4 linked regions of the Styela clava genome follow. Each later gene encodes a partner of the first gene's protein in a complex. Links are inferred from orthologs where the notes say so. Each region holds a gene or a part of one and is shown in the gene's direction. Other genes may lie near its edges.

Region 1 (7,556 bases):
TGTTATTAATTTTTTCGGGATTGCGGTCACCAGGGCAAACCCAGGGGGCATTAGTGGGTCGCTCTTTTGAAATGTAAAAAAAAATTTTTTATGTATCATACATAGCAATTTTTTAGCTTGAAATGCTTTTTAGACTAGCAAAACTCTTGAACGAATTCTCATTCATTTTTTTCAGGTTTTACTGGAGACATTCGATACAATCATGTCAAAATTGGATAAAGTATTTCGTAGTTCTGCATCTTCATCTTCATTCAGCAATATAGTGAGTGGATATTATAGTTTTAACCTTTCATTTGGTCTGTCACATCATTTATTGATGACTTTGTATTTACTTTCTATCTATAATATATTTTGAATTTGCATTGTGATTCTGGATTTATATATTTTATCTCTACGAACGCAGTCAAAAATTTGACTCAATCTGATAAATACAGTTTTGTCTGTTTGCCGTTTATTTTTTTTGCAATTGTAGTTTTGAAGGCCAACTTATTTACTTGTCAAACACTATCTCGAAACAAGTCATGTTCGGGTCGTGGCAAATGATATCCGAATAAAACTATGAACATTGACGAGAATATTTGTGTAGAAAAATGTTATTGCTATATACCAATATTGAAGAGAAAGAAAAACATTTTCAATACAAGGAGTTAACTTGTTAATTGTTATAAATATCAGATTAATACGTCATAGGTAATTGAATTTGTTTATGGTTTCCAGCATAAAATTAGTTCCTTAGAAAAGTGTCAATCTTTACTGTTTATGTGAACTTTAATTATGCACTTCCTTTTTGCTTATGGAGTCTACCTTTCATGGCTCAATATGTATGGACATATGATATTCAATGCTAATTTCATATATTGGGCCTGGCTTGAATATGTATTGATGAATGGTAACATATTTGCCAAAACTTTTTTTTTTCACAGCACGCAGACTGCATTCTTCAATGTGCATCTCTTTTGCTTTCAATTCCAATTTCCTATCCGAGATACTTCTATCAGAGCTTACAAACAACTACAATAAAGGTATGAGAAATATTTTAAATCGTTCTCGACTTGTTCTATGTCGAGTAAACAATTTGATTTACATGTCACTACATACAAAAGATAATATTGGTAGTTAATATGAAAAATAATGAACCTGTAATTAATTAGTTTTCATATTATGTTCTATGCTCATATCTTGCATTTTTAAAAAAAAAAAAAATTTTTTTTCAAAAATAGATGTTTTGCGATTTCTACTTGTGTAAGTTAATGTGCGATGTATTGTTTTGTATATAACCATTTTTTTTTAAATTTGATGAATACTGACATGTTTTTTAAAATTTTTCTAAGCTTGCTATATCACCAAGTCAGCGATCGCCTAATGATCCGGTTACTGTTGATGTGTGTGAGAGGTTAGCTCTCAAAATTGAAGGTGTGATAAGACATGGTGGACCTGGTGGTACTACATTGGGAGAAGCAGACAAAGCAACAAGCAAGAGTGGTTTTGGTAATAATGGAAAAGAAAAACGTTGTGCATTTCGGCATGTTTCTGAAATCAAATTATCACTAAGAACTAATCAAGCTCAACAAGGAAGGCAAGCATCTATGAATGTCAAGGTGAGTTTTGTCAACTTTTTGAGTGGTCATGATGTCTTAACCAATTTGCTTGGACTGAACTTGGACTAAATCATGTATATTTTTTTTTCATTAACAATGAATTGGTTCACTGTTTTTAGTTAAATTACTTCTGCACTATTGGTACTCACCAATACAGTGAGTGATACTTTTTTAATCAAAAGTCATGGGAAATTTGCGATGTCTAATTATTTTTGAAGTAATTTTACATAACAAAGGTAATACTTGTACCCAGTGGTGGGATTCAAATTCTTTGTCACCCGGTTCCATCACACAAATTCAGCCGGTTCTGTTACAAAAAATCATGTTTTTTTCAGTAATGCTAACCGGTTCGCTGATCTCATAAAATTCTGTGAGACGGATCTATAGAATCGGTGCGAACCGGCTGAATACCACTACTGCTTATACCTGAGATGTCAGCTAGTGGTCAAAATAAATCATAACCAGTAACCATCTAAAGTCATTCAGTCGATTAACCAACCCCAGTGAAGCGTTATAAGAGGCAGTAAATGTCGCCTACATGATTCCTCCAAGGCAAAAAAATTATTTTAGTCATCAATACATGTATACTAACTTATACTTCATAACATTCCAGATCAGATCAAAGGACTGAACATATCAGAAATAACAGTTTATTTTTAGTCCATACCAAAAAAAATGACTGATACCGACTTACATCGGTACTTCTTTAACTTGTATATGTACAATTCTATTTTACATTCGTTTTCTTAGAATAAAAAAGTTCTTGTTTCAAAATAATTTTCGTAAAGTGATCTTCAATCATTTCTAAACAAATTTAACAAAGAATAACATTTTTACAGCTCTCTGATTCCGGAAATTTTCTTGAAGAAACAGTGAAACCACACAATGATTATTTCAGCACACAATTTTTACTCTCTTTTCCTGCTTTGGGTGAGAAACCATCTTCATCTACTTTGTGCTGACTTAAATTCTCAGTTTATAGTTGAAAAATATTCACAGACCCTTCAATTTGTTTTACAGTTAATCAACCCTCAAAATAAAAAATTAGTCAAAAATTTTATTGGACACCTTGTCGAATTGAAAATATTACGATAGACCAGAATATTCCAATCATATTATGACAATTTTTTTAAATTTTTTTATTGAGGGTAAGAGTGTTGATTTATGTTGTAATGGCCTGCCTGACTTGTACTGTTTTAGCAGACAACTAATCTGGGCTATGTCAGTAGTGATATGAGCAGTGGGATTAAGGGGGTTTGCACAGGTTTGTGTGAGCCTGTTATTGGAATGTAAAGATAATCGACAATCCTGTTTTCTTGTTATTATAGCTATAAGTTCGGCATGGTTTTCTAAAATGAGTGAAATAAGAGAACCTGTTCCTGAAATTTCGAATCATTTCATATAAGCTATATGATTTTGTATATCAGCAAATAGTTGCATGGGAAATCTGTGCCAGCTATTGTCCTCACAGCAGCAGAGAATTATATTTGACACTTTGACAGCCTTTTCTTAATGTACTTATGTCAATACTTTCATATGTACAATATAAAAATTTGCAAAACTGTCATAAATGCATAATTGTATTTCACTTGTTTTCTAATCAAGGCAATCATAATATCATTGTTGAATCGAGTTTGATAGACGAACATGGAATGTGTTGGAAGTGTGGACCAACTGAGTCATTGACAGTACGAAGTTTGGATGATTCTATAAGAGTTAAAAATCTGATTCAACAGAGTCAGGGATCTCATAAATAGTCTTCATCTATTGTTGGAAAAACTAGCCTGTCTTTGCTAAACTATTGTGTTGCGACATCTTACGATATCTACTGCAATAAACTAATACAACAATTTGTTTTGTATGTCTGAATGAATTGAAGAGATGAAGTCAAACCTATTTTTGTAGGCTACAGCACCAGAAATCAAATACTTTGCACTACAGTCTTTAATGTCTGTACTGTAACAAGTCTATGATATTTTCATATAGTGCTCTGATTACACTGTGTGGGTTCGGATCCTGTGAGGTATAATTATGTGCGAGAGGATTGCTGGACTCCTCGTTTCCGTAGGGTGGTTCATGTAACTGCTGGTCGGTTACGGCTTCCTCCACTATCAAGTTCATGCATCTGAAACAAATAATTGGCTAATTAACCCCGTACCCAACATGGACTGGTAACTGAACAAGAGGCTGCGATTTCCCATATGATTAAGCTGTCTTATCGGCTTTCTTATTCTGTGTGAAATCTATATATCCTATGCCCTAGAATGGGTTCCTATGATTCCAATATCTCGTTTTAAGATGTTCGTTTTTAAAGTCTTTGTTTCGATCATCAGTTTTGTGGTTTTACTGTTTAATAAAGGATTTTCATAGCTTTAACAGGGGAGAGGTGGGTGATAAGATGAATTATTTATTTGCTTAATCGAATAATGACAGTCTACCAGTTGATTGCTCCACATGGCGAAAGAAGGCCTAATATTAGTATACCAATGATTATGTTTCCACAGATTTCCTGCGAACTTTTACAAAATAATCGTAGATGCAATGAAAATGGTATTCCTAATGCGCAGGACAATGTAGTTCCACTTCGTGTTTTACAACCTCTTAAACAACTACAATTTAGTAAATGGATAGATTTTGTGTCTACCGATCTTGTGTATATATTTAAAATATTGAAGTAACTTTTAGTCGTATGTCGAGATATGGGGAGCATGATATCCGACTGCAATACATGGTCTCGCTTATTTAACATTGAATATTGTTTGTTTCAGGCGGCAATAGATCATAACAAAATTATTTTAAATGTTGCGAAGAAACGTATCATGAGCCATGAACATTTATGCAAACATATTTGAAGTTTTAATATCGTATCAAAAATTATCCGGATTAGTCCCAACAGACGCCTGTTACTACCACTACTAGCCGATGATTGTTATGGCGACCGTCATGAAACGCTGACCCTGGCATCAACAAAATATTACGAATAAGATGGCGCTTATGGAATGAGCCCTTTATGTTGTTACTCCAGATTTTTCTGTAATATTGGTTTATACGACTGGCTACTGAGTATATTATCTGATTTGTAGCATCGAAAATTCTAGCGCAATGACTGATTCCGGGGAAAAAGAATCGGCAGGTAAAACAAGTTTCACTGAAAAGCTTTGATCGCAACAAATTATGTAATCCAGTAATCGAACTTGATTTAATCTTACACTATTGCTGGTAAATTTTCACGGTCTGACTGTCCTAGTACCTATATACCGTAAAACTAGATTTTGTGGCTTTTGCATATTGATCTACAGATCTACAGGATCTAGTAGGCATGCTTAATTACGGTACCGGTAGTCTATGAGATGAAGCAGGTACGGTACCAGTGGTCTACATCAGCAATCCTCTGGATTAATACCATATGGAAACTCAACACTGTATGGCATGTCTGCATGCATGCTTGGTGGTGTGGCAAAATTTGCTAAGCGTTGTGAATACGCTCGCCACCACACCTCCGATCATCATGCTGCCATGCGTGGGTTTGCAGCTTCGAATACTTTGGGGGATAATTATGTGAAAGAAGATTGCTGGAATCCTTGTCACCGTAGGGTGGTTCACATAAATAACTTTTGGTCAATTACAGCTTGCTCTGCCATTAGAAGTCCATAATATGATAAAATAAATAACTGGCTAACTACAAACCAGATGAGAGGCCGCAGTACAGCATATGATCGATCAAGCCGTCCAATCGGCTTTACTCTTCTCAGGATAAATATGTAAATTCTATTCTAGATGAAAAGTGTATTAGATTTTGACAATTTTACCACATAAGTGTTTGAAACAAGGAGCATTCAAATTTTTCGAAGCATCACACACATTATAGAAAACTTTATTTCCTTAATTTGCTGTAGTGAATGTATATATTTTAAGTTAATGTATCTTATAATTTACTGCATATTTTTCGCTATTGCATTTGGAAGTTGAATCCTTTGCCAAACTATTACAAACATGTATATTTAGTGAAAATTATTGAAATATATGTTTAGATTACTGACTTAATTTATATTTCAGAGTCTATGCTGGCAGAAATTGAGAAGAAAATTACAGATGCTTTTGAAATCTTTGACCACGAAGCAAACAAAACAGTTGATGTTAGAGAAATCGGAACAATTGTGAGATCACTAGGATGTTGCCCATCAGAAGGTACTAGTGTAGTTTACTTATGTTTGTATCTTGTATAATTTTTTCCAGTTTCCGTTATTTAAGCTAATAGCCTGTCTACAATTCTGTAATAAAATGTTAGGTAACTATTGGCATATGTGTCGCAGTGGTATGATTTATTTTTGCAAATGTTTCAGACATTCAACTATCAGTAGAGGTTGCGCGTGACTAACTGTCTCAATCTAACGTTACAGAAATACATTTGTGTTAGTGTGCAGCAAGACTCTTGAATTGCATAGTTTTAGACATTGTTGTGATTTAATAAACCGACGATTTGTCATAATGGATGTACAAACTGCTCGGCTCACATTGTTCAACATAACTGTGATATACTTTAGGGATCAATTCAAGCAGTATGATTATTACATTTTGAATAGTCATCAGTGTTCTATTTTCAATTCAGTATGCTAATGCTAATTTATAGAGCTTGCTTTACTTTATACATAATTGTTTGTATGACTTCATGCAAGCTGTCACTTTAATATATTAGCTACTGTGATGAAAGAAATTTACTCTCACATTGTGTGTGAAGTGGTATGTATGAGCCGACAACTGATATCACTGATCTTAAAAAAAACTGAACCTTAATTTCTAACATTCAATGCAAAGTTAAATTGACTGTGATGTCAGGATCTTAATTTTACATTGAATATCACAAATTTATATTAATTGAAACTATGTTGATATAGGAGAGTTGCATGATATGTTGGCTGAGATAGAAGAAGAGGAACCAACAGGTTACATACGCTTTGAGAAATTTTTACCTATGATGACACATGTTTTGATGGAACGGAGGTATGTTGTCGTCGTTAAAAAGATATTCGCTACTTTGTTTCTGGTGACCCCACATAGAATGGATATGCAATAATCTTAAATGTTGCCATTATATATTGATTGTATTTTTTGTTTTTTGACATATAATTGCATCATTAAATTTATCTGTTTTTTTCAGCTATTATATATGTTAATTAGATATTGTTATATTCAGCAACAGAACTATGTTGAACATGAGAGATGGGTGTAAAAAGAGTTTTAATTCAACTTTAATGTTTATTGTCCAACTCCGCGTTATTCCTTGCATCGAGTCTTGTAATGAAGTTCAACAGTTGCGTCATTGTTTTGGATGATATTTGACAAAAAGTTCTTTTAGATCATAGAAATCACAATACAGCATTTGCATGTATTATCAATCATGCTTAAGGTAAAGTAATTTCCCTAGCGACGCAAGTATAAAACAAATATCGCAAAGTATTCTATTTCCACCTCCAGATATAAACCTTCACCTGAAGATCAGTTGCTCAGGGCATTTGAAGTTCTTGATCAGGATAAGAAAGGATGCTTGTCTCAGGAAGAAATCACAAAGTATATGACTGAAGAAGGAGAACCTTTTACACAAGAAGAAATGGACGAATTTCTCTCTGCTGCCGTTGATCCTGATCGTGGCGTTGTTTTATACAAAGACTATGTTTCTTTAATGGCTATTGAGGAAACTTGATTAAATTATAGCGTAAGCTAAAACTACTCCATATTGTAAACCAAAGTATTAAACCTCCAAGTCATTTGTTATTAAAAAAATGATTTAATAAAATTGAAGCTGTTTACTCTTGTTGGCCTTCATAAAAAGGTACTTATTGCTGAATGTTCATAACTTGATGGAATGTATAAATTTTAAATTAACCACATGACTTCCTCAGACATCTTGAAGTTCAACATAAACGGTCAATTTCTAAACAATAGGCAAAAAGAAATTTT
Region 2 (6,999 bases), on another chromosome or scaffold:
ATCAAAAAAAGTATGATTATTTTGAACTTTTATTCTAAATTTGCTATCCTAACAATCTGCTACTATAGAATCTATTCAGACATCAAACTTCTTCAGATGAATTACAGGAAGAATCAGAATCTTCATCTGGTGGCAGGGATGTATGGTTGGGATTACAGTGTTCAACACTTAAATCTATATCAAAAGGATCCCGTTCTTCACTTTTAGCATTAAGTTCATCTCTTTCATTTTGTAGCCAATTTTGTTCAGCTGTCTCGATACTTTTTGAACTTTCACAACTCTGATATAACTCCAAAAGTTCCTCATTCAATGTAAAAAAGTTGGGACCCCATTTAAAAGGTTTCAAAACAGATTTAGCACTATCTTCAAGCCCAACAATATAAAGTGTAGCTGCATATGCCTCCACACATGACAACCTACAGGGCTTGCCATAATTTATTGGATTCGTTGCAACCAAGTATGGTAAAAGTCTCAAGTGACCTCCTTTCATTTTTGAAAATGGAGTGTCTTGCAACCTTGCCCATGAACAATCAATTACAGCTATGCCATGAGCTAATACTTTGTCTTTATCTCCGGCACTGATATATTCAGTAGCCATCGGGCTTAATATTACTCCAGCGAATCTTTGTTGTAATTTCAGTAATCTAACTGCTCCTTTACGAGCAAGCTTTCTTCCTGTACATTTTTTCGGGTCACAGTGTCCCAGGTCCCACATTGCAAGGGGGCATGCTATTGTAAAATTGCTCGTCGTGCCTCTTGGTTCATGTAAATCCTCTTCATCCATTGCAAGTTGCGGCGTTTCATATTTATTTTTGTTTTTGAAGTTTTTCCTCCGTTGATGCTGTTTTTTGTGAGACATTGCTATTGTATATAGTGTTATGTATTCTAAATCTAATTATAATACAAAAAGATGAATAAAAATTGTATATAGACAACCAAGTTACATATTCCACAGTAAATGTTCATTCCATAACAAATTGAATATTCAAACACATTCAGTATTAGTTAGTTACTTAGTTTGATATGGTTATTTCTAGAATTTTAAAATAATCCATAATAATTCTTTTTTACAACATATCATAATCAATAGTAAAATTGCCCACAGGCGCAGCAGTTAAAAATATCTTTATAAAGTTATGTGCTGTAACAATTCCATGCAAATTTTCCACTCTATTATAAATGTAGAAAATATTGTATATTAGAAATAGTTTATTATTTTAATTTAGCAATTATAGATGAGATGAGATTTTTTTTTAGGACAGGAACATATACTTTTGAATACATCATTCTATGCATAAAAATACAAGATTATTGATCAATTATAAAAGATGAGAGCAATAATAAAAACTCATGAAAGTTCATATAAAACAAATTCTCCATTCTGTTACAACTCGTTCTTTATTTAATGCAAGAAATTCATTGCATAATAATTTTCTGTACATGATACAATAAAATATAGTACTCAATTGACTTCAGCTGTGCATTACATACAATCAAGCTTAGACATTTACTGGATGCCATTCTTTAGATAACATTAAAGACAGGGGTGGGCAATTACTTTTCTGAGTGGGCCAGAGGCTCAAAAACTTAATATGAAAAGCTATGAATAAAAAACAGTTTATTTACAAAAGCTAGTTCAACAGCTAGGCTAACATTTATATAATAATAAGAAGCACAATGTGGCAATCGGGGTCATTATGACATTATTTTCAATGGAAATTTATATCCATGAAAACCATAGTCGTAATTGCCGCACACCCAAGTGTACCGGGCCTTGCATATCCCTGACCAAAGAGAATCAATCATTACTGATAGAGTTAAGACAGCTGGCAAACTATACATATTTATAGAGATAATCTTTCTCATGACATCCAAAATCATCCTCTCATGAAGTATGACCCTATTTATGTGGTAAAGATTGATGTTCAGTATCACTAAACATGCATAAACAAAGTAAAATTATATTTGAAACATTTAAATTAAAATGAACATGAAGTTTCATTTAAAATAAAAACACATTGTTGATGATAAAGCACATTCGATTGCTTGATTTATGTTTGAAAAAAAAACTATGATAACTATTTACAAGAGAAAGTCTGATTTGGTAATCACTTCACAAGAAGAGCATCAACCATACGATTTTTGAGTTCTGGATCACTGGGCATCGCAAAAGCAATATTCGCCAAGGAATATTTCCTTTCAAGGAGCAAGACAAACTGCTCAGCTGTAACTCCTTTGTCCAAAATGCTTAGGGTCAAATCTTCAGCTGACAATGAAACTCCTTTACCACCACCACCAGATCCAATTTCGCACTCTTTGTTATTGTAGTGAGAAGTTCCACCAATGTTTGCTTGATTGAAATTTCCTCCACTAATGTTGTATTTAGTGTTTGAGGCACCTTTTTGGAAAACTTTTTTCTCTTCGTTGAAAACAGTGTCACCTCTGTTACCAATTGCCGCTTGACCAATAGTACCTCCCACAATATTGAATTGGTTGATGGCACTTCCACCTCCTGAAGTGTTATATGAAACTTTTCCAGGATTAACAGTTCCAAGATGTCCTGTTGCCCTATTAACTTCAGCCATAGCTTCTCTTACTGTGTCCTCAACATATTGTTTAGTTGATTTTCCCCCAGTATACATTTTTGGCACTGCAGTTGCATCACTTTGAATTTTACGACCAGACATAGTAAAATGTTTCAACCACTACCGGTACCAAATATCAAAATTTAATTGAACAGAACCTGACAACGCTATGCTCATTTAGGAACTACTTGAACAAAAAGAAAAAAATATGTCATACTCAAAATATTATTGTAATTTACTGTTGCAATAAAATTCTTTCAGATTTATGATTAATACTAACGTTTGAATAACTTCGTGCTATTACTGTATCATGTGCCATTAAATTGGTGCTTCGAAATCAGATTAAAGTGAAGCCTTATGAACGAGTTATTCATGGCGTAATTGCCCCATTTAGCACAGCTCGCTTGACACAAAAGTTACCAGCTGATCTGCTGGGAAGAAAACGGTCAAGACGGGTACTTCCTCTTAGTGCAGCGGTGATCGGAGTCGATCACATTTTTATCCTTAACCTTTTAGGCTGAGTCATGCGTTCCTTGTCTCGCGTCAAATTTGCCAATGTTTATGCAGGAATGATTGGTTTGTGCACTTGTGCCGAAACCTACTTAACAAAAATAAAACAAATTTCTGTCCTGTTATGTTGTTTAAAGAGTGAAAATGCACTTGGATAGAAGTAAAAATGTACTTTTCGAATAAAATAGAAATAAAGAGAGAGAATCATTGCCGCAAAAACAAAATCAACACTAATATAAACATAATATATTAAAGAAAATATTTCAGCAGTAATAACAGTGATTGATTATTGTTTTGTGCGAGTCGGTGTGCAGGACCGGTTGGGTTCATCTAGGCTCCCGACCCTTGTGTTTATGCTATATATAAGCACATCATGGCATAATATAGTACCAGGGTAAATGCGAATGGATTACCGGTACATAAAATATAAATAAGATAAAGAAATTAGTGAATGATGCACAAATAAAAGTGTAAAATATGTCATAAATTACAGTTAAACATGTACAGAAACGGGATATAAAAATGAACATTTATTACGATTTTCCACGCATCTGGAACTCTGAATTGTTCAACTATTCCCATAAATATGAAAATCCTATCCAAACTGCCATCGGACGACAGTTGATGGTTAGATTTTATTTCAATTTCATCTTCAACGAGTAAAAATCAAACAGACGAACTATGATTATGTCCAAAATAGTTTGTACTAACTCTTTGTACTAACCACATGTAAAATGAAAATCTTGCACGGGGTAATCGCTATAATATACAGGGCCATCATTCTCTGTGGCTATAAATAAGCAATGAATACACTGCGCCGCAAACGACTATGAATGGTTATTTTATTCTTTTAGCAATCATTACAGCAACGTGTCATAGCAGAGAGTGAGTTAAGTTTTAGAGGATTAAATATAAATATACAGCGGGATTGTTTGGAGAAAAACAAAATATTTGGGACCATATTTAGTCACGCGAAAGAATCAGTGACCCGCGACGCTGACCTGATATGTTTCTAAGGAGACGGTGAAGCAGCAAAATTCCCGCGAGACGTTCTGATTTCTTTTTCTGTAAATGATTTTGCTAGTCTATATCTACTAAGTTTCTCTTGGTGCGAAATAAAGGCAATGGCGTCACTTCAAGGGATCGATCCCGCACTAAAAGAATATCTTAAAGTACACCAACTTCCCGAAGTATATGAGGTGATAACAATACTACACAATTTTCAGATTTAGGATTTTTTTTCATATTTTTTCTCAGGTTGCAACAAAGATAAAAATACTGCTAAAAATACAGCCCAGTTTTGCTAATATAAAGTAAATAAATAATGAAAAGTACCCTAGTTCCAAACACTCAGAATCTGCGCTAATCACCCAGTCAATAGCATTCCTATTGTGCTCGGCGGTGTGGCTCATCGTGCTAAGCGTTAGGAATACGCTCACCACGGCATCTCCGTAGGTCGTGGTTCGCCATATGATTGAGTCGTCTTATCGGTTTTTTTCACCCCCTGGATGAATATGTAAATCCTATCCTATCCTTCAATGCTGTAATACTAGTTTAGATATTTAATGATTGTAATTTTATTACAAACCTTTCATTTTTCGCAGTGTATCCTTACTGGTTTGATGATAGCATGTCCAGAGGATCCTTACAAATGGGTTGTTGAAAGCATTAAAAAAATACGCGATCAAGGTCTGGATACAATGACATGGTAGGTGAAGGATTATAATTTGTATGTAATGGTAGGACCTGCATCAAAATAAGTTTGCATATGATGTTAAATCTTCATTTAACATTGCGTTTTTGACCACTAACTTTTGCTCTTCATTTCAGGGATATGTTCGTTCCATTTGAATGTCAGCCAAAGATAAAACAAATGGCAGAAAGTTACTTGGATGAGATTTTCAAGTTTTATGACAAGTTAACCGTAAATTTTTTTAAAATATTTCTTCTTCTTTTATTCAAAGTGAAACGTCAACTAACAGTGCAATTCATAATTTTAGCCATCACCAGATATGCTGAAAGCAGCCTATAGCCATTATTATGGCAGATTACAAAAGATATGTTTCAAAGGATGGCTTAAATACTACTTGGACAAGAAAAATCATCGAAATATGATTCGAAATAAAGTCAAAGAAGCCAGACAGTATGTACAACTTTGGACATACTTGAATTATCGAGCCAAATGCTGTATTTAAATTATTTTAAGGACAGTCATGTGTAATTTGAAGCCTAAACTTGCCATTTATACATGAAAAATAAACAACAGATATTATTTTTTATATTAGTATTTGGTTTACTTTAAACTGTTTTTTTTTCAATATCAAGATTTTAGAACTTTATTTCAGATACCACAGGACAAGAATGATGAGAATATCATTTTCTAAATGGCATACTTGGAAATGTTACGTGAAAAAGAGACAAAATAGTAAAATATATCTATTTTTATCCAACTGAAATAAAATAGCCCAATTACTGGGAAAAATTTCGGCAAATCTATCCATAGGATTCATAATTAAAAGCAATGACTTTTACTTTGAGGATTTTATCTAGATACTGGCTTTTTTCTCGCGGTAACCATATATTGGAGCTTTACTATTTTGTAGTTCTATATTATTTTAAAAAATTTTTTAGGTGGTTTTGATATGATTTCAAAAGTTTGGAATGAATCAGTTTGTCGGCTTGTTTTTCGAGCTTGGAGATCGGTTGCTGTAGACGCACGTAAGACTAGAGAATATTTTGAACGTCTAGAACGTGGAGAATTGGATGAAGAATTCGGTGTCGAAACTGGAGACAAGGATCTGCCTAGTGATACATTTAGGTAATGTTTGAATGTGTTAACTTAAAAAGAAAAACACTCAAGCCAACGCCAACATTTTAAAGATTAATTTTTCTACTAGAGATGAAGTGTCTTTGCTTCCACGAAGATGTGCTATACAAATATTCAGTAACCTGAACTTGATTGAACTTAGTAGATGTGCAAAAGTTTGTAGAGCATGGAAAGTTATCACTGGAGCACCTTCATTATGGAGTCATCTTAACTTCAGTAGAATTAAAAATAAGTAAGTGAGATACTTTTTATTTACACTCAAGCATCAAGTTAGGTGACTATTGGTGCTGTCTTCAGGTGATTACTTTAAGGTTTTAGTATGCAGGTATGTATATTTGTTTCAAAATGTGTAACTTCGTCTGCCTGATAAATAAATAAAAAGCGGATACTTTTACAGGACATTGTTGGTGTCTTAAGACACAGTTGCGAGACATTCATTGGTCTCTATTTTTGAATTTGAAATTAACGCTGGCTGCCTTCAAAAATGTACTAACCTAAAACATCTTTTTTTTTAAATATGGTGAGGGACATTTTTCAATATGGAAGTATAATCTAGGTATATTGATAACATTTTTAACATTATTTATATTTGATTTCAGAGTGAATGATAGAGCCATTATTCAGTGCTTACAGAAGAGTCGTCCATACCTTGTACATCTTAATCTTCGACAATGTTTTGCTGTGCATTGGCCTGCCTTCAAAGCAATTGCTGAATGCAGAAATCTTCAGGATATAAACATTTCAGAATGCAAAGGAGTCAATGTAATGCATTGTATATTATTTAGTAGTGTGTGAGCCCTTAATTTTAACCTACATTTGTGTGAATAATGATTTTTTCTACAGGATGAAATTATAAGAGCAATTGCTGAAGGATGTCCAGTGCTTCTGTATCTCAATCTCTCGTACACTGAAATAACCGATGGCACATTGCGTACATTGGCAAGATGTTGTCTGAACATGCAATACTTGAGTCTGGCATATTGTAACAAGTTTACAGATAGGTATTGCTGTCTATATATCATGAGCCTTTTACCTCATGCAGGGTGTTATTTATGACACCATGTTGAAATATAAAAA
Region 3 (6,034 bases), on another chromosome or scaffold:
AATGTTCGTGGGGTGACTGAACAGATGACCTGAATTGCAGGTGTAACTTTTTTATATGTTCTGCCTTGCTTGTTGGAATGCTGATGTACATTCATCCTAAACCCCCCCGAAGTTCTCAAATTGAGATTGTTTCTCCCTTTTTAAATGCACAAATATAGATTCGATTCATTGCAGATTTAATATAAAACAAAAGCAAATGATAGAGTTTTTTAAATGCGAGACACTTGTTCATATTTGTTTGTGGAGATGAATTTTTTACTCTCTGTAAATACAGATACTGAGATTTTATTTGTGTTCAGTAACATTGTATAGTTCAAAATACAGCCGGCAAGAGCAATGAATTTTGAGGTATGGGCATGGCATCTGATTATAAATTACATTATGGGTAAACCAAATTTTTCCACACTGCAACCCAGTACGTGAATTGATGTGTAGAAAAAAAGTCGATATGACTTGATAGAACTCACATCTTCACCAAATATAATTCTACCCGACATATCAACGGATATGTCCCATAGGCACGCAGAGCTAAAGAATTTTCCATTTCTGAATAAAAAAAACATCTGTATTCTGACGATGTGGCAATAATCATTAACTTTACTTGGGGGTCCCGCATTCTGGAACAAATATTTTTCTTCCCATTATTAATTCTTTTCTCTGGATTATTAATTCATTCGCGACTGGAATAGCTGAAAGCTGGAATTTCAGTGGTCTCCTTCAATTTTGCTCAGATGAATGACTCAACTCTGAGCAAATTCTCCTAAACCAAAGCAAGACATTCGAAAGTACTCTTATAGTCCTCTGAAATTCATTTTATAAAGTAATAATTTTGCTGTGATATAACAGATCATACAACAAAAACTTCAATCAAAACCGCGCCAATTAAAAATAAAATTAGAATCCGAATAATTATCACCAATATTGATATGCCACATTGCACCTTTGATGTGTTATTAAAATGACCTGAACATGGCCATATAGCATTCCATGCAGACTTGCAAGATCTTGACAAAAATTTTTATGACTCTCGGAATACTGGCCACCATTCTGTATTGGTGGTATCTCCCAGATGCGAATATTCAACCTCCAACCATTACAACTTTATAAGTATAGTTTGATAAGTTCATCACTTACAGCAGAAGGTGTCAGGACACCCAAATCAGTTATTAGTAAAGTGATATAAGATGGAGGAGTGTAGTCTACATTAGGATGTTCTTGGTCAAGATTCTTGGACTTGATTGTTGATGCTTTGTATTTTATTTCATTCGGTACATCTTGCTGATTTAATGGATAAAGGCGAACGAATTTAATGCTCTCGGCAGCAACATACAAGGGTTTATTATGTGCCTTTGCACAAACAGCAATTTGGTAACTTCCTATCTTGTTCATAATCCCACCGTTTTCTACCACACCTTCAGCACCAATCAATACAAGGTCTATTTTTTCCATAACATAACCAGCAGCTGAGTCAAGAATTACAGTCACTGGGATGCCATGTTCTCTTAATTTTTCCGCCATTATATTACCACTCATGTCTGGTCGTGATTCAGTGACAAAAACAGTGAAACGCTTTTGAGCTTCCATAGCTTTGATTAACATGTTCAAAACTACTCTTGAATATGAATGAACAAGAACTTTGATACCATCATTCAAAAATGGCAACCCAAGTCTGGCAATTTTTTGTCTGCTGGATGATATTTTTTGCAGGAACATTTCACCACGGCTTATTAGAATATCCTTCACTTTATCGAAGTCTGAGTGTTCTAAAGAAGATAGGGTGATAAAGCGAAGAAACAGTTCCGATCCAGACAAGATAGGTGTAATTCCTGTGCAGTCAGTCCTCACAAGCACTTCTATTGCACTTTTTAGATTATCTCGTAATCCTGATAATGTTTCAGCATGATCCTTTCTCAGATATTCTATTAGAGTTTTGATTGCAGCAACTGCGGGAGATGATTGAGTACTGTTTCGTAATTCCGACAAAAAATATTCACTTATCTCTTCATCATTCATGATCTCTTTCTGTGAATACCCTTGCTATATACAAAACAATACCTGCAAAGATAAAAAGAGATATGGTTCAAATAATATTTGTTGAAAAAAGAGGAAATTATTATTATTCAGTCCAGGAGTACAAATCACTAATGTATTTTACGCCAAAAGGCCTTGTATGCCACTGCTAAGTCTGTAAGTGAAAATCACTGGGAAGAAATAATTACAGAATTACGATTCAATTGTTTCAGATATGGAATATTATTAACACTTAACAAGTGAGCATTCTGTTTGGTGACAGGGTCCAGTTTTGTTTGATTGTGGATATCTGAAAAATCATTGCGAAATATTTTGAGAAATGTTTATACAGATGACATTTACAGCTTTTATTCAGTTATAAAATAATATTATGATTAGATATAAGAACATGGTGCGGTACCGGTACTGGATAAAAGCCAAATACAAATTATAGGGTCTAATAAATCCAGAAATCTGTAAATCCTTCTTATAATCCAACTGCCTGACTGTGGTACCGGTAATACAGTAATATCTGAATATGCTGATTGCTGACTACAACAGAACTAGGCTACTAGCGGTACCTACTAATTAAGCAAGCTTAATGAGACTACCTCTATAGAATTTCAAGTTACCAAAATCAAATTTTGTCGCAGGTCATTTCCATCGGATACCGGTATGCATTCGGAGTGGGAGTGGTGACTCCTCTGCGGCCCATGGGCCGGGGCCCATCAAGTTGTGTAAAGAAACTATTCACTTGGCTAACACAGACAGTCCCCGAACTCATAATAGAACTATAATGTAAAAAATCTGAATTTTTTTTGTCCTAACCCTAACCTGGTACACATACTACAGGAGTATGTTTTTTTGGTTAGAATATTGACAATTTGGTAAAAATTGAAAATTTTGTTAAGATAATTGAATTTTTCCTGATGGGGCCGCGGCCCATCAAGCTATGGGCCACGGCCCATGTGGCCCCGGCCCATGGGCCGTAGAGGAGTCACCACTCCTGTAGTGCATTCGGCACAGCATGATTGGGAACATGACGCAATGGTTGTGTCCCTTTACATACTGGTACCGGTACTCAAGACAGATTTTCAGACATGGTTGTAACTTGTAAATATTGGAGTCGCTATCTGTTTGTATGTTTTAGATGTGTTTCCGAAATTTTGGTACCGGTACCTTATAAATCAAAATACCATTGGTCGTTTTGTCTTCTGGAGCGTTCCAGTTTAGTAGTAGTGATGAAAAATAGTTATGAAACAAGTAAACTCGTTTGGAAAGTGCCAGGCGTATGTTAGTCGTTGGTGCCAGCAATGACAATAAATGTCATTGAAGCCAGGTCACGAAAACTGTCAAAGGGGTCAAGGGCCGGATTATTATTCTTGAAAATATCAAGTGTATCAGAACTCCATGACAACGCGACACGCTTCGTTCGGCTGAGAGTTTTATTTTGTGTTCTGCCGCTCGTACAAGGCTACCGGTATGTAGTAAGCGAACTAGTAACTATTTTAAGCTATGACTTGTTTCTATATGTATAAGAAATAATAATAACAACTGGAATGGAATTTTATATGTGTACGGTATTAATGCGTGACAGAGAGAAATGAACAGCTGTATTAAGGTATATTAGGAGGAGGAGGAGGATTTACATATTTATCCCGGAGGAGAGGAAAGCCGACAAAAAGAACTGACTGCTGCCAATACAAAAAAAAATGGAAAGCCTATGTTGACTCATCATGAAACCATATTTGGATTGAAAATGACTGAAATATTGCAAATGAATAATATTTTTGTAATGTGAAATACTTTGGTTACAATTAATCTCATATTGTTAGATAGTTAAGATAGATAGATAAGTTGTTAACGCTTTATAGGTACACAAAAGTGTGATTAGACCATCAAATATTTTTAGCAATAACTAATCTCACAGCCTGATTTTTTGTCATGATTTTACCATATATCATATACATCAGGGGTCGAGAACCTTTTTGGTCAAGAGAGCCATAAAAGGTACATATTTTCAATTGCATTTCCGTGCGAGCCATACAGCATTTCAGGCCTGAAATTTTACTCAAAAGTCAACAAATACAATGTCAATATACATTTAATGTGACTTCTGATGCTTCAACGGCTGCTCACATGCAGCCAAGTTGAAATCTACGATACACATCACCATCACCCTTCTTTCGTTTAGGCATCTCTGTACTAGTTTGATTTAAATATGACAAATACTGTAATTAGTACGTACAAACGGACGAAAAGCTTTTCTCTATAGCTCCGAAACTATAACACTTTGTGGCGTCACAAAATAGATTCCAGAATCCCCTAGTTTTGTCACAATGCTTGTCTGGTAATTCTCTCAAATAACATAGACATGCGCTGGGCGCACGTTTTCAAACGTCTTGGCAAATTTGGCTATAAATAGGTTTGAAAACTCGTTAACAATTGTAAGCTTAGCCTTACAATATTAGATTTTTCTGGGAGCCATATTTATGCCGCCATCAAAAGAGCCATATATGGCTCGCGAGCCATGGGTTCCCGACCCCTGATATACATTATGCTTTATTTTACTTCTTATTTATTCAAGCACTATCAAATTCTATTATAGTAAATAAATAAAATGCCACCAAAAAAGAAAAAGGGCAAGGGAAAGAAAGGAAAGAAGGGCAAAAAGAAGGATGTAGCAAAAGAAGAAGACAAATTTAAAAAGACTGTTAGAGAAATTGAAATTCTGAAAGAACATCTCGCTCATCGAAATGAAATTGCTCGGAGATCACAAGCCCAAGCATCAGATTGGAAGAATCGTCTTCATGAAATGGAGGAAAATCTTGAGGAGCAGAAATTGGAACAAAAAGATGTCAGTGCAGAGTTGACTCGACAATATAAAACGATGCACACGGATATGGACATTAGAATGCGAGAACTAAACACAGAAGTAGAACATCTAAGACAACAAGTAGCGAATGCAAGACAAGAGCTTGAAACAACGAAACGAGAAAAAGAAGAAATGGAACAGGAAAAAAACGAAACAATCAGAATATTGGAAAAAAGAATCGATGAAATGGAAATATCATACGAAGGAGTCCTTACGGCTTCGCTTGATTCACTTATTGGAAAAATTGATGAAGCTAAGGATAAATGGGATCAAGAAGGAATTAAAATACAGGAACAAACTAAAATTACTCTTCTAGAGTTCGGTCTGAACCCTCTGGATATTTGATAATAAATTCAGATAATTTGTTCTGTTGAAAGAATTGCTTACAAGGTCATACGGGAGAACATTTTAAATCCGCTTGCCTTCAATGATAGACAATAAAACTTATATGAATTCTAAAATCTGATCATTGGATTAGACTACCTGCTCATATTTGTTGATGATTATATTCAATAGCTTACTGGAGAACTAGGTATATTTTAATGTAATCCTGTAGTTTTCATAAATCATTTTCATCACTGTGTTGTGAATTGTGCGACTTTCATTTGTGTCTCACTATTTTTACCTTGTTATCATTAATTTCATAGTACCATATTGATAGGTTTAAAGGTTTTAGGGATACTACTGTATAGTTGTTGTGACTAAAAAATGCCTGTAAGATGGAGTGATGAAGATCCTGCTGAATTTGATGAGGAAGCATTCAAAATAGTCGACGACGTAATAGCAAAAGCTGTTCATGATGTTTCAGTTGAAATTAGACATAATTTGGTATGTATATTTTATATGATATGTCAAATCTGGCTTGGATAGGCCTTGAAGCTTCATATACCAACGGCGTTCCGGTTGTTGGACAGTTCATTGCGTTCCTGTTGTTAAAATAAAATTATGGTTCGAAAAGTCTGGTTTCCTCGGGAAACTTAGTTATTAATTGATGTTTTGTTGCATCATAATTATTTTTACATTTCAGCTGGCAAATAATTAGTGCACAGCAGTAATGTATAATGAATGTTTTGCCGACCTTTGACCCTTGTGAACATTTGTATTGAATTAGTATGAATATTCTTTCAATTTTAAAAAGTCATATTTCAG
Region 4 (7,699 bases), on another chromosome or scaffold:
CACAAACTACGAACTTTGATCTACACCAGGTGGCCAACACATCGATTGCGATTGACCGGTCGCGAGTAGTCGATCGCGTCTGATGTTGAGTAAATTCAATAACATAGCCCAGAAAATTGCGTTGAACCAGTTTTATACTGCGACTGTTGTGTGTTTCAAAACAGGAAGAATATAGTACTGTACAAGCGCAAAATACGAAGTACACATGCAGTAATTGAGTATGGACAAGAGCAATAGAGTATATTATTACGTAACAAATGCAAGTTTCCCTACTGCCATGTTTTAGAAATGAACATGCAGAATATCGCGTGTTTTGACAGGCAAACGATCCTACAACATTTTCTGCACTGTGTGAAAGTTATTGTCTCACTCCAAGAGTAGTGTGATAGATTTACAACGGTAGCAGTGGCACCAGCCTATGGTAGCTCAGTAGTAGACGTTTCATAGAAATAAGGACAAAAATATTTTGTAAGACAAATCTCTTCAAAATAAAAACAAATCTTGGAAATAAAGACGTTATGGCCTGCCTATAATCATTTCGAGTCGTAACAAGTGGGAATCGGGATAAAACTAACAGCAGTTTTCAATCAATTCATTGAACCGATTGACTTTCAGTCAGATTATCCATTTTTATACGGCGGTCATTCACATCCTTCGCTCCGAAAAAGGCAATTTACAAGCAACCGATGATACGAGGCGCTATAGCCTTGAATAGACTAAAATGTGTTAACATTGCAGATTACCTTTGCCATGTTCAATTTATTTATTCTCATGTGCAACAACATCTATAATTTGTTTATCTCACAAATTGAAGTTTGATATAATGGGCATCCTCATCAGAAATTTGTCCCGGGCAGCAGAAAAGTTTGACACGCCTCTGCCCCACCTTACTCAGGGTGTAATAAATTGGGTCGACAATGCCGAACCGGAAAGATTTATCAAATAATAGTAATTCCTCAAATATCAGTGGACGCATGTGAAAGGCTTTTTTTAGAGTGAAAGACCCGAACAAGCTCAGTATAATATATATTAGGTCGGACGCTTTAACAGCTTTGTCATCGCGACGCCTAAAACAGTGAGTTGATGTCAATCACCCGGAAATACCCGTGACTAAGACAGCACAACAGTGAGTTGTGTGGTGTTGTCTTTTTTTTTGTTGATAAAATGGATTCTAAAAGTTGGAATAAAGTTTAAATAGTGTTTATGGTAATTACTCAATAATGAATCAGGCAATGCTTCATTATTGAGTAATAGACAGTTACCAAAATTGGATTTAGTTACTGGACCGGGGGCTCATACCTCCATGGGAAAAACTAAAAATCATTTAACCCAATGGCGGGAAATCACTACGCTTCTAGGTAAAAAGGCGCACAGAAAACAATTTAAATGAAGAAAAACTATCAAATGCAGTGCTGGCCAAAAATTGAAATGGGTGGAACGTAAAATGATGCCATACTATATTTGCATAATGAAATGCAGTGCTGGGCATCTGTTATGCGTAAAAACGGCACACAGAAAACATCTCACATAAAAAAAAACATGTAGCTACATGCCAAATTATGTACAAACACAATTAACTTTAGTGTGAATTTTGCTGCTGTTTCGTTTCCAATATAAGATGCAAACGAGGCATCAAATAAGTTTCTACAAACGTAGCTCTGCATTGGCGTACAGTCATTTCTTTGCTTCGTTTTAATTAAAACTAGGGATGAAAAAGTTTTTACAATTATATAATCAAATTAACATATTGAATAGTAGTATAAAAAATGCAAATTTTTGTGGCAATTTCATTGAGAATGCACCCGCAGAGCCGAGCTTATTGGCATCGGTGGAATTTTTGTATGCGTGTGTGAGGTTATCTGCGTATTCAGTATTCGTACATTTTTGTTTATGACCTTATTACCGATCAGTCAGTCGATCGCGAGCTTTTTTGAAGATTTTAGTCGATCGCGGGCGAAAAAAGGTTGGCCAGCCACCCTTGGTCTAAACTAACCTTCAATGTCTCTGCCATCCAATATTCGGTCGAGGGGGCCTTGAAACCAATCCAGGAAATGCGAGTCTAAAAATACAAATCGAAATTTTCAATGTTCTTCCAAAGTCCACTTGGACATAATAAGTTGGCGTTTAAGATGGGTTGTTACGATAAAATACGCCTACCATTCCTAATCTACCTAATATTTAATCAAATGTGATTTCTTTGAGCAGGATTCTTCAAATAGGCTGTTTGCGTAACAACACCACTCTTGCTGTTGATGCAGTCGGGGAAATTAAAGGAAACTTCTTGTAGCTGCGAAAAAAATTCGCCTTAAATACGAATACATTTTGGAATTATACGACCACTGAAATCTCACTCAGTTTTTCACTCAGTCATATATTTGAATCTATCAACTCTGGGCAGGGAAGGAAGAATTATAAAATGCGCGGACCTCCAGAAGTATGTGCACCAAGATGGCGCACATCCTGAACATAGTATGTGTACCAGGTTAGGGTTCAAGTTGTGCGCCATCTTGGTGCACATACTTCTGGAGCGCCAAATGCGCAATAGGTACTGCGGTATATATTCGTAGTACGGACAAATTATTTTGAGTTCGTGGACTTTTGTTCAAATATTTTGAAGTAAATTTGGTCTGACGAATGTTATAAGTTGTTTGTAAACCAGGTACGTAATTGTATCCTATACAGTATACACCAACCTGGTAGGTTACCTCCTCTGTCGAAAAAATCTTCAAAAGACAGAGCTAAAAACAATGTAAAAGGCTATTTCAGTGCTACCATATATATATCTTTAAACAAGTTTCACAGGCAAAACTAATTTCAAAGCACCCATGTAACTTGAACGAATCTTTTGCGTTTGAATAACATTGCTTTCAACAAGAGAAGTACTTTTTCGGTAAAAGAATAGGGACACGATATTATTTTTGTAAAACGGTCTTTACGGCTAATCATGATTGTTCTTGACTGTAATCATCATTAATATGGTTTTAGTGGATGGTGATACATTTAAAAATAACACTTTCTGAACGAATAACAATTTTTAAATTGGGAATTGTGGTCACGAGCAAAGCGTGCAAAATGAGCTGGCTATGAATAAAAAATGAATATATAATGAATAAAAAGTGCTCACCCCATTCACTGTCTACTTCACAAATAAATGATAGCAATGCTACGTAGAATATAGCAGCATAAAACATTGTTTTCCAGAAGCAGCAAATTATTTGAGAGCACAAATTTAAAATCTCACTGCGCCAATGCTATCACAAATTTGTGTTAACCTGCACAATTAACCGTAAATATTCCACAGAGAACGCGTGGATAAAAGGCAAATGGGGCTATGAGCGACTTTTTCTCCAATACCTTTTCGACAATATATTGTAAAATATATATGAGAAATTGGTGTGGTCGTTTAACAATGCCACTGTATACGAGAAAATTGCGACAAAAATTATGGATAATTTTTAATTTCATGTGCGTGTGAGCTGAAGAACTAATAAATATCAAGATCTTAAAAAATCTTGTTCATGTCGGTAAGTAAAGTTTTCATTGGTTATGAAATCCATCAGACGAACTTTAAGATGTCCTTCACATGTCAATAACTTTACCAGCATTAAACTTTAATCCTGCATACAAACAACTATTTTCATCTATATTGAGCCATCATTTATTTACAATATTTCCAGCCAACAGGCAACAATCTTACTCGCTATTTTTCTTTATGTTGTGTCCGGTTGTATTATATTTAATTCACATAACCTTTTCTATAAAAAGATAAATGGACAAAAATGAAAGTGACGGGAAACAATATTTTACGCGTAGTTTGGCACATATAAAAATACGATATAGTTCTCGAAGACATGGCCAATTTGTTTCAAATTTCGATAAAGAGTTCAACCAGGCTGTATAAAAAATACTCTGATGACGGAACAGATTTCGATTTCAGAGGATCAACTAATATACCGTAAGCATGTGGATCATGTTCTTATCATAATATCTGTGTGTTACGCGTCGAATTATAAGTATTTTGCGGCGGTTACGGTTGTCACAAAACTATCACGACGATCATAACATAATTTTGCGCAATTCAGTTTGGAGTCTAAGAGGCTGTTTTTTTTTGTATAAGTTTATTTCGACCCGAAATTTTTGCTTTACCTTATATATTGCACACATTCCCATGCTGTTTTTTTCATTTTACATTTTTTCTAAATTAATTAGTAAGTATTTAAGTTTGATTCGCAAAAAATACTGACTACGTGAATTTGAAGGGACAAGCTGTTTTCGATCGGTTTGGATTGGTTTAAATTATCTCGACTCCGCGCACTTCCATTTGCCTTTATCTGTAACCATGACGAAATTACACGCTTGGTCGAGGAGATTGATGTTGTTTTCCTTTTAATCATTATTTAGATATAAGTTACGTACTTAAATAGATTTAGCCAGGCGATTATACATGCCATAGGTGTTCGATATTCACCACGGTGCCATTTTATTCATATTCCAGTACTAAAATCAGGTTTTGTGGTCAAATCTCTCATGCATGTTATCTGGTACGTATATTGTGAAAATATGGCTATTGCTGTATTGACAGGATTGCCCTGTGTGTTATGATTATATGATTTGGTCATACCAACTCTTGAGTAGTCTATATTTTAAAGTATGTATTTACTTTTATTGCACAGTTCAAAAAAAAAATGAAATCTAACAAAATTTGATAATGTAATAATTTACATTTCAAAACCATTAATATACGGTGAAGTAACACAGAACAACAAATTGACAATCTGGAAGTTGTTACAAGGAACTACAGAACTAATGGCGTTCACTCACGCAACCGCTGCTAATCATGCATCAGTCATGGAAGACTGTATTGATCAACTTTCTATTCTTGGAAGAATTCTACCTGTTTCTTATCAGGGCCAAAGTGACGCAAAGGAAGTGAGTTACTGAGTTTATTGTGTTTTGTAGTGCTGTACAAATATACCATTGCTGGTACCGTTACTCCATGTTTTTTTGACTTTTTGCAGGCACATTTTCATCAAAAACATGCTTTCTTTTTTGTTCCTTCTGGGAGATAGATATTGTACGAACAATTCAAAATTGTGGCCTATATATCTTGCTTGTGAAACAAATTGTCCTTACTTTTTTAGGAAATGTGGCATATATAGTTCAGGTTTTGCTCATTTCAAAATAATTGTGAATATCCATACTGTTAACTGCTCATAAGAAGTCATTTACTGAATGTATTTTTTGCAGATTGTTAGTAAAGATGTGAAAAATGTTCTCAACAGTCAACGTGAAATTGAATCAAAGTTTGACACAATTTTATCGTCACGAAATGATGGCGGTGGAAACTCATTTGTTGGATCAAATCAAGTATGTTAGAACAGTGTTTTTCAACTTTTTTCGAGCCAAGGCACACTTTTTTCATTGAGAAAATCCCACCAGCTGAAAATGTGAAATAAGGACCTAATATTCACAATATAAGTGTAATATTGTTCATATAAGCTTTTTTAACATTGAAGAAAGATGTTGGATTGGACATCTTGAATAGTAATCAAATAAAAACAATGACAAAAAGTCAAATTGCCACCTGCGCTGACACCTGATATAGAACAGTACTACATGATTACTCTGTCGGGCGCTACACCGCATAGACACACAATTTGGAGAATTTCCCACGGTACCCCTGACAGTATTGTACGGCACACCGGTGTGCCGCGGCACCCCGGTTGAAAAACACTGTGTTAGAATATATATGAGCAACTATCTTTTAACCTGAAATGGTACGAATAGAAAAATAGAACTTAGATCTCATCACACGTATCAAGTATGTTAGAATATATATGAGCAACTATCTTTTAACCTGAAATGGTACAAATAGAAAAATGAAACTGATATTTGATCACGCCTATCTCATGTACGGTTCAATGGGTATAATAAAAATAAAAATTTCACTATACATAAATTGCCTCATGCATGTACGTGACAATTTTATGACTTTGTTTAAAGCAGAGGTTCTCAAACTTTTTTAAGCCACACCCTCTTTTTAGAATTTGTCAAGTCTGACGCCCCACCTCAAAAATAACTAGCTAACAATAAGCTACAAATGACAGATAGTAAGGTAAAAGTATGAAAATACGTGGATGGAATGTAAATAACGAAAACACTGAGGATAATTAAGATACAAGAACTCTAGCTCTCCACAATATCTAAACAATGAAGAAATGTAAATATCCAAAAGAAGGCGAGCAAGATCAAATATAACAAATGTTTTTATTTTTAATCAGTTTCACGCCACTCAAAAAATTGTCTACGTCTCCCTTGTGAGGTGCGCCCCACTGTTTGAGAACCACTGGTTTAGCGTGCAAGGGATCATTTTGAATTTGGTATTTTATGAAGCGTTCGATTTATTATTTTTTTATTTAATCCCCCTTTGAATATTTTTGCAGATAAAAAACTTAACAGGTTCACTGACATCCAGCAATCGATTTGTGAGTCAGTCACTAAAACAGAGCCCACTGACGAGTGACAATCTTGTGAAAATACAAAAGGACAGGTGAAACTAATAATATTTATGCTTAACTTGTAGCCATGGTCCTAATTACTCACTATATAACCCATGGATGTATAAAATTGGATGTGCAAAATTGTATCTACTTGTCTTTGGAGATTTGCTTAATACAAATATAGCAAATAATAGTATTTATATAGAAAAGTCGATAAGATGGCGAACTGTTTCAGAATAAGTTAGCCAGGTAATTGTTTTCAAAAGCATGGCTTTAGTAGTGGAGAAAGCCGTAACCGACCAGCAGTCACGTGAATCAACCATTCTATGGTGGCCAGGAGTCCAGCAATTTTCCTAGACATAATTGTCCCTCGTGGGATTCGAACCTGCGAGCTAATGAAAGGTAATCAGAGGTGCAATGACATGCATATTCCTAACACTTAGCACGTAGAGCTATGTGAAGTTATTAGGTTTCGTTTCCAAAATTTAAATGACTATCTGTGTATTTTCATTTTTATTGAACATTTTGATTTTAGTTTGTTTTTCTCTCAGGCAATTTTGTGAAGATGTTTTGACATTGACACATCAAAGTTTACTGCAATCTTTTGATTACCAACCACTTCTGGATGCTGTAATTGCTGAAAAAGAGAGAAAAGCTGCTCTTCAACAAAAAATTATAAAGTATGTTATTGATTAAGGGCGAGACTAATAATCGTCATCAATATTAATGTAACAATTTCAATTTATGGCCAATTTCTAATATGATATGTATATATGGAATATATTCACTTATTTCAAAGTTTATGCAGCTCATCAAATAATTTCATTCTTCACCATCAAAAGGATACTTTAATATGTGCTTTTCAGCTATTGTAATCATATTGCTGTTCAAATCTATCACCTTGAAGTAAATGTCAGTATAAATATATTTATTTCTAATGTAAAATGTTTGACCAAAAAATATTCACATTTTTTTAAAGAATACTAATTTTCTTGATTTTTTGACTTATTCAATACTAACATGCTCTGAAATGCATGATTGGAATATTCTTAACTTTCAATTCAAACTTTTTTTGTGATTTATTTTTTTAAGAGAGGAACAAGGCAGAAGAAAAATCAAACAATTACAGCGTCAGCTTGGGGATATCAAGAAAGAAAAGGAATTAGAAATTCAGCAACGAAATGAAATGATTGCTCATT

The links.
Region 2: dynein regulatory complex protein 8-like (region 1) and F-box and leucine-rich repeat protein 13-like share a complex: the UniProt entries of both Homo sapiens proteins name them as parts of the nexin-dynein regulatory complex. The link is inferred for Styela clava from reciprocal best matches to the Homo sapiens genes DRC8 and FBXL13.
Region 3: dynein regulatory complex protein 8-like (region 1) and dynein regulatory complex protein 12-like share a complex: the UniProt entries of both Homo sapiens proteins name them as parts of the nexin-dynein regulatory complex. The link is inferred for Styela clava from reciprocal best matches to the Homo sapiens genes DRC8 and DRC12.
Region 4: dynein regulatory complex protein 8-like (region 1) and dynein regulatory complex protein 9-like share a complex: the UniProt entries of both Homo sapiens proteins name them as parts of the nexin-dynein regulatory complex. The link is inferred for Styela clava from reciprocal best matches to the Homo sapiens genes DRC8 and DRC9.

What each region holds. Positions count from the first base shown.
Region 1 is NC_135253.1:7,972,882-7,980,437, forward strand, and holds the start of dynein regulatory complex protein 8-like, read left to right. Parts: upstream 1-4,542; 5' UTR 4,543-4,700; coding exon 4,701-4,731; intron 4,732-5,654; coding exon 5,655-5,786; intron 5,787-6,493; coding exon 6,494-6,599; intron 6,600-7,073; coding exon 7,074-7,299; 3' UTR 7,300-7,556. Other genes in the region: integrator complex subunit 7-like, read left to right, coding at 176-262, 924-1,022, 1,332-1,598, 2,438-2,528, 3,204-3,355. UniProt on the Homo sapiens protein: Component of the nexin-dynein regulatory complex (N-DRC), a key regulator of ciliary/flagellar motility which maintains the alignment and integrity of the distal axoneme and regulates microtubule sliding in motile axonemes.
Region 2 is NC_135258.1:12,568,040-12,575,038, reverse strand, and holds the start of F-box and leucine-rich repeat protein 13-like, read left to right. Parts: upstream 1-3,973; 5' UTR 3,974-4,219; coding exon 4,220-4,294; intron 4,295-4,699; coding exon 4,700-4,803; intron 4,804-4,925; coding exon 4,926-5,019; intron 5,020-5,095; coding exon 5,096-5,238; intron 5,239-5,440; coding exon 5,441-5,520; intron 5,521-5,726; coding exon 5,727-5,913; intron 5,914-5,992; coding exon 5,993-6,154; intron 6,155-6,521; coding exon 6,522-6,684; intron 6,685-6,765; coding exon 6,766-6,923; intron 6,924-6,999. Other genes in the region: 18S rRNA aminocarboxypropyltransferase-like, read right to left, coding at 83-859; uncharacterized protein LOC120338966, read right to left, coding at 2,109-2,687. UniProt on the Homo sapiens protein: Substrate-recognition component of the SCF (SKP1-CUL1-F-box protein)-type E3 ubiquitin ligase complex.
Region 3 is NC_135258.1:9,395,693-9,401,726, reverse strand, and holds dynein regulatory complex protein 12-like, read left to right. Parts: upstream 1-4,570; 5' UTR 4,571-4,630; coding exon 4,631-5,230; 3' UTR 5,231-5,532; downstream 5,533-6,034. Other genes in the region: translation initiation factor eIF2B subunit alpha-like, read right to left, coding at 1,102-2,013; A-kinase anchor protein 14-like, read left to right, coding at 5,594-5,713. UniProt on the Homo sapiens protein: Component of the nexin-dynein regulatory complex (N-DRC), a key regulator of ciliary/flagellar motility which maintains the alignment and integrity of the distal axoneme and regulates microtubule sliding in motile axonemes.
Region 4 is NC_135256.1:11,518,924-11,526,622, forward strand, and holds the start of dynein regulatory complex protein 9-like, read left to right. Parts: upstream 1-4,677; 5' UTR 4,678-4,806; coding exon 4,807-4,929; intron 4,930-5,247; coding exon 5,248-5,367; intron 5,368-6,443; coding exon 6,444-6,550; intron 6,551-7,051; coding exon 7,052-7,180; intron 7,181-7,592; coding exon 7,593-7,699. Other genes in the region: uncharacterized protein LOC120327970, read right to left, coding at 1,994-2,059, 3,125-3,191. UniProt on the Homo sapiens protein: Component of the nexin-dynein regulatory complex (N-DRC), a key regulator of ciliary/flagellar motility which maintains the alignment and integrity of the distal axoneme and regulates microtubule sliding in motile axonemes.